Schizosaccharomyces pombe: one gene and its partner. The gene in region 1 interacts genetically with each later gene. Each region holds a gene or a part of one and is shown on either strand. Other genes may lie near its edges.

Region 1 (6,454 bases):
TGGAGTATGAGCTGGTTAAAATTTTTTGAGACTTGATTTGATCAACGATCGGATTACTCAATTGTTTGGCTAAACCGGTTGCATCCCCTCCATCCCTCCTTCCATTCCATCTTCCATCCACACAACTCGCTTTTCAATTCGAATCGGCAAAACACATTGAATCGTCTCTGCCGCAAACGTTGTCGGTGCATGCTGGATTTGCATCTCTCGCGAATTCGTTAGCGATGCCATTCGCTTGTGCTGACCGCTCTCCCTCCCTCCTTTCTTCTCTTCCTCCTTGCTTACCTCTTCGCTCAATCTACCTTCACTCACCCTCTGTACTTCTTCACTGTATCTCGATCGACTCGGACTCTGCACCTCTTCACTATATCGGGGATGCGCCGGTCCCTGCATCTCACGTTTCTTGTTCACCGCCCTTAACAATTCCACCCGCAAAAAGTGTTCCACTCCAAATTGCTGTGTTTCAAATGTTTCCGGACATTCCTCCGGCACAACCATCGAAGCGCTCATGTTTTCCAACTCAAACACTCCCCGTGTAATTCTACACCACACTTTTCGCGTCGCCCTCTCCGTCCCTACGCTGTTGCGTATACGGATGTCTGGCACAATACGCTCCACACTTTCAAGTTGCATATGCACTTGTCGAACCATCGCGTCCAGTCCTTCTAGCTCAATCATCATCATCTCTCCTGTCCGATATCTGCTTTTGCTCAAAAGCAATCGACATAACACTTTTTGTTTGCTTGTAATCTCAAACCTCGTGGCCATTGGTTGCTTGGATTCGAGTTTTTTTAACAACGCAATTTTTTCTTCATCCTCTTCCTCTAATACTTCTTCATTGATCTCTGACCTCATTCCATGATCTTGGAATTCTCCTCCTCCCTCTTCATTAGACTCTCCATCAAGTAGCTTTTTTATGTGTTGCTCGTATTTCTTTTTTTGCTTCTCTTCCTCCTGCGCATCCTGCGAAAGTCGTATACCGTTTTTACCGAATTGCCTACGTGCTTTCTCTGCTGAAACCTCTTCAATTTCTGCCGCATCTGTTTCAATAATCGGTTTGGATAAATCTGCAAACAGCTTCGAGGATTGTCTGTTTCCCGAATTCTTTCCGAGTGGCAGTTCAGGTTGCTGTTGAACGTTGGGTACTATAGTAATTTCAAATTCATGCTCTACACAAGCATTGTTGGTAGCTGATTGGACTCCTATGACCAGTGCGTGTTGAAATCGAAAGGCCAATCCTTTATATGTAGGTGCTGTTCGAAGGGGAATTCTTCGCTTCAACCGAAAGCATTTTTCCTCTCCAGGAGAAAGCGTGATATCGACTCCTAATATATCTGGACGAGTCAGTAGCACTGGAATGGCATTTTCCTGCTTTTGTTCTTTATCGGTTAGTATTCATGCTTAAGCAGTAGGTTGCAGTAAAAATAAGAGTAACCATCTTCCAAAAAAAAAAAAAAAAAAAAAAAAAATTGAATAAAGAGTAAATATGTTTCAAATGAATTACAAAACTCTTCCCAGACAACCTTTCTGTAATTCGTCAATTGACTTTATGTCCACCTCACCGTATAAGCACTCTTCCGAGCTATATCTTCCCTCCAAATGTAAGCCAATTGAGAGATTTTTTTTACCAAGTCTTTATTTCCTTTTGCACCCTTTCACCATTACATACCTGAGGCCTCTGTCAATGTACTTGCTTGTTTAACTCCAAATAAATTTCCAATCATCCCGTTCAGAGTATTAATAACAGAATAACTGCTGGATACCTTGGGAATATGTACTAATCCGCTCATTGTCCTTTTGTTTAAGAGCCCCTGCCTCTGAACCTCATCGAATTCTGTAACGCGCACCAGTACATAGTCAAGGTACATTTCACCATGGATAGAAGCATAGCACAAAAGTAAATTTACATCTTCTGAACTCCTTAGATTCGTGAATTTTACAATGCACTCAAAGTCAGTTCCGGATTGAACTACATTCACTGGCATGTACATTTGCACATCACATTCTGTCATTGTCGAACACCACTAAACTCTTATATTCGATAATTTCTCAAGCCGCTGGCTTCAGCTTTACCTTAATAATAACCATACAACTTGGATTTCTTCATTCGTATTGACGAACGTTTATTAGTCTCGTAACAAATGCACAATCAAAATAGTACTGTAAAAGAGCCCACTTTTCTTCCTCCACGACTCATTTTACGAGATTAAATAACGAACGCCCACAATCAATTTTTTACACTCTCCTTACTATTCCTTAATTTACTCATTTACGAATGTTTTAACGAAGCTTTGTTAACTCTCTGCTTTTGGCAAATTGTCACATTCCTTGCTATTGTCGCCCAATATACATACATACACTGCTTTTTTGGAAGTTAGACAGTAGCTTCTCAGGAATTGGGTAATTGTTATTCATCGTCGGAAATGAGTAATTCTGACATTCGAAGCTTCTTTGGAGGAGGGAACGCTCAAAAAAAGCCAAAAGTCTCACCGACTGTATGTTTGTTTCTTCAATCAGTCAAATTTGATAAGCTAGTCATTCATTTTCTAACGTCTTTGTCTAGCCTACTTCCCCAAAACCAAAAAGGAGTTTGAAGAAAAAAAGAATCGTTTTATCAGATGATGAAGATGGTACAATAGAGAATTCAAAAGTTCCTGCATCCAAAAGCAAAGTGCAAAAACGGTTCGTTTAATTCGGGTTATCAGTTTATATTTCTAACCCTCCAACTAGTAATGAGTCGGAAGATATTTCCCATTCTTTGCCATCCATTGTTCATGAAGACGATAAACTGTATGTTTATTTTACTTTTACCTCATTATGCGTTGTTCGCTAATTTGAATTTTTGTTTAGTGTCGGTTCAGATGGAGTTTCAACTACACCTGATGAGTACTTTGAACAACAGTCTACTCGGTCACGTTCTAAACCGCGGATTATCTCCAATAAAGAAACTACTACTTCCAAAGATGTCGTACATCCTGTAAAAACAGAAAATTTTGCCAATGACTTGGATACCACTTCAGACAGTAAGCCAGTTGTCCATCAAACTAGAGCTACACGTAAACCTGCTCAACCTAAAGCAGAAAAATCGACAACTTCAAAGTCAAAATCTCATACCACAACTGCGACAACTCACACAAGTCGTTCTAGCAAGTCGAAAGGCTTACCTAGGTTCTCAGACGAAGTTTCCCAAGCCCTCAAAAATGTTCCTTTAATTGACGTAGACTCTATGGGTGTGATGGCTCCAGGTACTTTCTATGAACGGGCGGCTACAACACAAACTCCAGGCTCAAAACCCGTCCCTGAAGGCAATAGCGATTGTCTCTCGGGAATTAGCTTTGTTATTACAGGAATTCTAGAGACTTTAACTAGACAAGAGGCTACAGACCTGATCAAACAATATGGTGGAAAAGTGACAGGTGCACCTTCTGTTAGAACAGACTTTATTCTCTTAGGTGAGAATGCTGGTCCAAGAAAAGTGGAAACAATTAAACAACACAAGATTCCTGCTATTAACGAGGATGGACTCTTCTATCTTATAACTCATCTTCCTGCTTCAGGAGGAACGGGTGCTGCGGCTCAGGCTGCTCAACAGAAAAAGGAACAAGAAGAAAAGAAAATCCTTGAAACTGTTGCGAGAATGGACGATAGTAATAAAAAGGAATCACAACCTTCACAGATATGGACTTCAAAATATGCGCCAACTTCTTTAAAGGATATTTGTGGTAATAAGGGTGTCGTTCAAAAACTTCAAAAGTGGCTACAGGATTACCACAAAAACAGGAAGTCCAACTTTAATAAACCTGGACCTGATGGTCTGGGTCTATACAAAGCCGTATTACTCTCTGGTCCTCCAGGTATTGGCAAGACGACTGCTGCTCATTTGGTAGCAAAATTAGAAGGTTACGATGTTTTGGAACTGAACGCTAGTGACACTAGAAGCAAGCGCTTGCTAGATGAGCAGCTGTTCGGTGTGACAGATAGTCAATCACTTGCCGGCTACTTTGGCACAAAAGCTAACCCCGTTGACATGGCAAAGTCCCGACTTGTACTCATTATGGACGAAATCGATGGCATGTCATCGGGTGATCGTGGAGGCGTTGGTCAGTTGAATATGATTATTAAAAAAAGCATGATACCAATTATTTGTATTTGCAATGACCGTGCTCATCCAAAGCTGCGGCCCCTTGACCGTACTACGTTTGACCTCCGTTTCCGTCGGCCAGATGCTAATTCAATGCGATCCCGAATAATGTCTATAGCGTATCGTGAAGGTCTCAAATTGTCACCACAAGCAGTCGATCAACTGGTTCAGGGGACGCAGTCCGATATGCGCCAAATTATTAATTTGCTATCCACTTACAAGTTAAGCTGTTCAGAAATGACACCTCAAAATAGCCAAGCTGTTATTAAAAATTCTGAAAAGCATATCGTTATGAAACCATGGGATATCTGTAGTCGTTACTTACATGGAGGAATGTTTCATCCATCAAGCAAGTCCACCATTAATGATAAATTAGAGCTGTATTTTAATGATCACGAATTTTCTTATCTTATGGTTCAAGAAAACTACCTTAATACTACACCAGATAGAATTCGTCAAGAACCACCGAAAATGTCACATTTGAAGCATTTAGAATTAATATCTAGTGCTGCTAACTCCTTTTCCGACTCTGATCTTGTTGATTCAATGATTCATGGTCCTCAACAACACTGGTCACTTATGCCAACCCATGCTCTTATGTCTTGCGTGCGACCTGCTTCTTTCGTGGCTGGTTCCGGTTCCAGGCAGATTCGCTTTACTAATTGGTTGGGTAATAACTCGAAGACAAATAAATTATATCGTATGCTTCGTGAGATACAAGTACACATGCGTTTAAAAGTATCCGCTAATAAATTGGACTTGCGGCAGCATTATATTCCAATATTGTATGAGTCTCTGCCTGTAAAGCTATCAACAGGCCATTCAGACGTCGTTCCAGAAATCATTGAATTGATGGATGAATATTATCTAAATCGTGAAGATTTTGATTCAATAACGGAATTAGTTCTTCCTGCAGATGCAGGTGAGAAACTCATGAAAACCATACCGACTGCTGCAAAATCTGCATTCACAAGAAAATACAATTCTTCGAGTCACCCCATCGCCTTCTTTGGAAGTAGTGATGTTTTACCTATGAAGGGCTCTGCTCAGCGCGAAGTGCCGGATGTCGAAGATGCAATTGAAGCCGAAGATGAGATGTTAGAAGAAGCTAGTGACTCAGAGGCTGCTAATGAAGAGGACATAGATTTAAGCAAAGACAAATTTATTTCGGTACCAAAGAAACCTAAAAAAAGGACTAAGGCAAAGGCTGAAGCGTCCTCTTCTAGCTCAACCAGTCGCCGATCCAGAAAAAAGACAGCTTAAAAAGCTCTGAAAATATTACTTTTACGGATTGTATATGAGTTATCGGGATTATATTGCTGAGTAAGTGAAATTTGCGAATACTTTTCAATTACTTTGCAACAATAGTAAATAATATAGATTTTTTGGTGGATTTTACAGTTCTGGTAAGATATGCTCAAATTTTCTTAATCTTAAATGTGTGTTCTTTTGTCCGTTACATACTTTAATGTTTATAAGATATATTATATCATATTTAGCATGACCGTATTTGCAAGGTTAGATTTAAAAATTCGGTGAGTGGTATTTTCAATAAAGCTATCGTGAACCATATCATTTGTAATTGAGTCAGTAAAATAAAAGCTAATTGACAGGCGGTTTAAAATGTATAAAATTATTTTTATTATTAATAATTATATCGTTTCATCTAAGTACGCTACATTGCTGTGTTAACTATCAGAGTTATGGTGAGCTAAGTGCTTAGTAAACTTAGCAGAGAGCATCTGAAAAGCTGCCAAATACCAGAATGCTTGCATCAATTGAGGAAGCAGTGAATGACTTTCGTAAGCATATTTCTTTTTAAAAAGATAAAACGCTAATATCATGACAAGGGGATGGAAAGTTTTTAATAGTGTTAGACGATGAAACGCGTGAAAACGAAGGAGATCTGATTATTGCAGGTTGCAAAGTTACTACCGAACAAATGGCATTCTTAGTCAGGCATTCTAGGTATGCAAAACGACATGGAATTGTTTGAAATGCTAATAAATAGTGGGTATGTCTGCGTACCCATGACTGGTGAACGTTTGGATTCTCTAGAAATTCCTATGATGGTAGATAATAACGAGGATCGTATGCGAACAGCATATGCAGTTACTTTGGATTATGCCAACGGTACTACCACTGGAATATCCGCTCACGATCGTGCATTAACGACTCGACAGCTAGCCAATCCAGAAGTAACTTCTCCTCGTGAGTTTAATCGACCAGGACACATTGTTCCCTTAAGAGCACGAGACGGCGGTGTTTTGGAAAGAGATGGTCATACGGAGGCTGCGGTGGATTTGTGCAAGC
Region 2 (4,063 bases), 2.3 Mb from region 1:
AAAATCGATAAAACATACTTGATTGAAGGAAGCAAACCAACATGACTTAATGGTGAAGTAGAGACATCAAATGTGGAAACCGGGCGGCGGCCGTGTTTCGTATCATAAAAGCGTAACTATTTGTTGTTAAATAAAGGTTCAATACTGTGAATAATCAAAATATTATCAACTGCTTACCTGACCATAATGAGTAATCGTAGCAAAATGGAAGCACAGACTTTCATCGTCTTCGGACTTTCCGTCAATAACATTAATAATATCTTCCGTGAACACAATTCCAGTGATCCACACGCGCACTCTAAGATTCAGGGAGTCATTTTTTACATTTTTTCCCTGGAAAACTTTTACCACGTTTTCTGTTCGCCAAAGTTCTAGTTCATCAATGTTCGATTTGCACGTAGGATTGCAAGAATACAAACAAACATCGTTTTCTTTTCCTCCAGCAGCGATTATTCCTGGTATTCTTGGATGTAACTCAACAGCGGACAGGGGGCCATGTAATTGAAGTTTTCGAAGCTTCGAAGATTCAATGTGTCTAAACAACAAATTTCCATCACTTAAAGCAAGCATTAGCCAACCATTAGAGTATTTCATGGAAACTATGGAAGCAGTCTCTAATAAAGAGCTGTCCAATTGCCAAAGACTAGACAAAATAGGTGGTTCTTGGTTAACGTTCCAACATTCAATAGTACCATTTTTCCGAGCGACAAATACATTCTAAAATTAACAAGTTAATCAGTGTTTTTCGAAATATAAACACAGGATATCCTAGTAACGCGCAATCCATTTGATAATAGTAACGAAGAAACAAGCGTCAATAAAGTTGCTTCTTTTTAGTTCATAATGCGTTATCACAGAAATCTCAAAAATTCCGTACCATTTCATGCTTCAACATAAAAAGCACTCCTTTTTCTCGATCTAACTCTCCAAATTTCTGAATAACTGGTGCTTCTGACTCGGGGTTTGAGGTGTCAGTACCTTTTTTTATTTCTATGACTATAATCACCTTTATTAGTACCGACGAACTTGTGAGTGGATTTCTTACATTTTAATTGCCCGATTTCATCACCAAGAAGCAATTTCATCTTGAAATACTACAACTTTTGTCGTATATCGCAAGAATCGATTTGGTTGTTGAAATGGGTAATGAGAAAAACTTTCACCACGAAGGTAGGAACGTGTCCTTTTAAAGGGCAAATTTTAAAACCATTTTAAAAAACCTTACAAGGTAAAATAAAAAAAAGAATGAATTGTCAATTTAATTTAGGAAATGTCATTTATTGAATGGATAATTTAGCTTATCGATAAAAAAAGGTTGTAAACGGACTAATCGCTCACATGTACTTGAATATAAGAAGAATTGTAATATATCATTTTCTATAGAATAAGTGCTCGTCAAAGGAAACTGAGTTTTGCAGCTGATTCATTTAATTGAAAGTTTACAACGTTAGCGTGTCAAGTTGCCTTATCAATGAATGGGATTTAAATAATTTCTTAAACAGTTATTTTTTTTATAGGAATAAAGCAAGGTGGAAAAACATAGTTTGGTCAGTAAGTATACGAGAAGAAGTTTGAACTATGTAACAGCTTCAAATGTTTATCGATAATGAAGTTAGAGCGCTCTACGAAATAGAATTGAATAAACAATAAAATTACCAAGTGTTGTAAAATACTTCCCACTCAAATACAATGTTCAGTAACTTCCATAATATGTGTAAACTAGCGAGAACGGAAGGTATCTTGAAGAGCTTATTTTAATGGGAAAAACAGTTCGGTTTGTTTAGAAGTTAAAAGTTTTATCATCTAACAATTTGGTGTAATACACTGACATGCACGTTGTATTTCTCCATTAAGTACATCCACTTGTCCTTTGCGTTACTGAAGGGTTTTACCAAAAACCGAGTTCCAACCTTTAAATCTTGGAATAAATGCTTTGGTTAGATCAATACCGTCCAAAGACGCTTGCATCTTTGGACTATCACAAACAACTCTCAGAACGTCTTATTTCCTTGTCGTCTACTAATGAGTTTCCCCATTTGTTAGTGTATGGGCCCAGCGGAGCAGGAAAAAAAACTCGGGTGGTTGCTATATTACGAGAATTGTATGGACCTGGCTCAGAGAAGGTATGTTTCTTCATAGTCTGACTTTCATTTAATTAAATATACATGCTCACAATGAATGTAGTTGAAAATCGATCAAAGAACTTTCTTGACTCCTAGTAGTAAAAAATTACAGATCAATATTGTATCAAGTCTTCATCATTTGGAAATTACGCCCAGCGATGTCGGAAATTACGACCGAGTCATTATGCAGGAGCTTTTAAAAGATGTGGCTCAATCTGCACAAGTTGACTTACAAGCTAAAAAGATATTTAAAGGTATGTCTTCACTGTAAAGTGAAATCAATATGGAATTTTTGTGCTCTTTTTTGTTCCTAGGTGTCTCATGTTATATTCTGGTTGGTGAACTTTCAATTCTTTTCCTTATTTTTATCTGCGCTCGTACTAACATGCTCCTTAGTCGTTGTAATCAATGTGGCTGACGAATTAACTAGAGACGCTCAAGCGGCTCTTCGTCGTACCATGGAAAAATATTCCAATAACATTCGTCTGATCTTAATTGCCAATTCTACGTCGAAAATTATTGAGCCTATTCGATCTCGTACGTTAATGGTTCGTGTTGCAGCCCCTACGCCAGAGGAAATTATCCTGGTAATGTCTAAAATCTTGACAGCCCAAGGCCTTGAAGCTCCGGATTCTCTGCTTAATAATATAGCGAATAATTGTGATCGGAATCTTAGAAAAGCCATCTTGCTCTTAGAGACCGTTCATGCAAAATCTCCAGGCAACAAGCAACTAATCGATACTGGTGCGCAACTCCCTTTGCCTGATTGGCAAACATTTATCCAGCAGGTCGGTGATTCCATGCTTCAAGAACAAAGCCCTGCACGTATCCTGGCTGTTCGCTCAATGCTGTATGATCTTCTTTCTCACTGCATTCCCCCTACCACAATTTTGAAGGAACTTCTGTCTTTTTTTCTTTCAAAAGTGGACACTAAATTGCATCCATACTTAATTCAAGCTGCAGCGAATTATGAACATAGGACTCGGATGGGCAACAAATCAATTTTTCACCTAGAGGCTTTTGTTGCATATTTTATGAAAGTTTATGCTATGTTACAACTAGGTATGGAGTTACCTTCTTATTAGCTTTTTCGGTGATTACTAGAATGTCTATACTATACTTGTGCATCTTGATTTTGTAATTTTAAGCGAAAAACTATCCCACTTTATTGGACCGTGTATTTATTGATTTTCTTTTGAGTCAAACTCTAGTTTCTGAGCTACGCCCGCTATTATTGAAAAAGATTAATCGAAAGGAAGTCGCTACAGTATTTTGTTTGTATATTCCTTTGGTACACTTTCAGTAAAATGGAGTTTATAAAAACAAACTGAGTTATTAACATTGTTTCAAAGAAACTTTGTTTTTGATAAATATGCTGAAAATGTCTAATACTATATAAAACTGTTATATATCTAATATACGGAATAAACTACTATTACAAATGATTCAAAAAAAGAGAAAGAAACTATAATCCGAGGATTTCAGGGAAAAGTTTCAAATTGTAATGCATCTGGTAAATGTAAAGAAACTAACAAATTTACCACGCGACAATGAAAATGAAAGATATAAAAAACAAGGGTTGTTAAAAAAGATAGCAAAGATTACAGTTAAAGACGGTGTCTTAATAAGAAAAAAGAAGTTTGTGGTGACAGTGGATGAACAAAGTCAAAAAAACCTCACTTTGCTAAATACCCACGAACACAATCCGCTAAAAAGACCATGACGAATGTTTGGTAAGCACCAAGACCCATACGGGGGACGGCACCACGATAAAGACCCTTAATTCCATTATTCTTGTAAATGCTCATTATGGTTTGCATAATACCAGGTGAGGAATGTTGTATACCCTTGGTCAAACTTTGCATCTCAACGCGAGCGACCTCGAGTGGTTGATTCCAACAACTAAGAGCACCAGCAGACACACTAGCAACAAACCGTTG

What was found. Genes that interact genetically often act in the same process or in processes that back each other up.
Region 2: of rfc1 (region 1) and rfc5, a mutation in one rescues a mutant of the other (synthetic rescue), as found in Schizosaccharomyces pombe (one study listed by BioGRID).

What each region holds. Positions count from the first base shown.
Region 1 is NC_003423.3:3,851,912-3,858,365, reverse strand, and holds rfc1 (DNA replication factor C complex subunit Rfc1), read left to right. Parts: upstream 1-2,343; 5' UTR 2,344-2,423; coding exon 2,424-2,495; exon of another isoform or gene 2,496-2,563; coding exon 2,564-2,682; exon of another isoform or gene 2,683-2,730; coding exon 2,731-2,790; exon of another isoform or gene 2,791-2,850; coding exon 2,851-5,404; 3' UTR 5,405-5,709; downstream 5,710-6,454. Other genes in the region: rgp1 (protein sat1), read right to left, coding at 70-1,379, 1,670-2,012; rib3 (3,4-dihydroxy-2-butanone 4-phosphate synthase), read left to right, coding at 5,907-5,943, 5,992-6,109, 6,153-6,454. UniProt on the Schizosaccharomyces pombe protein: The elongation of primed DNA templates by DNA polymerase delta and epsilon requires the action of the accessory proteins PCNA and activator 1. Subunit 1 is essential for cell cycle progression.
Region 2 is NC_003423.3:1,533,921-1,537,983, reverse strand, and holds rfc5 (DNA replication factor C complex subunit Rfc5), read left to right. Parts: upstream 1-1,872; 5' UTR 1,873-1,928; coding exon 1,929-2,123; exon of another isoform or gene 2,124-2,184; coding exon 2,185-2,377; exon of another isoform or gene 2,378-2,519; coding exon 2,520-3,208; 3' UTR 3,209-3,563; downstream 3,564-4,063. Other genes in the region: ribosome biogenesis protein wdr74, read right to left, coding at 19-116, 178-717, 878-996, 1,046-1,085; yhm2 (tricarboxylic acid transporter), read right to left, coding at 3,800-4,063. UniProt on the Schizosaccharomyces pombe protein: The elongation of primed DNA templates by DNA polymerase delta and epsilon requires the action of the accessory proteins PCNA and activator 1.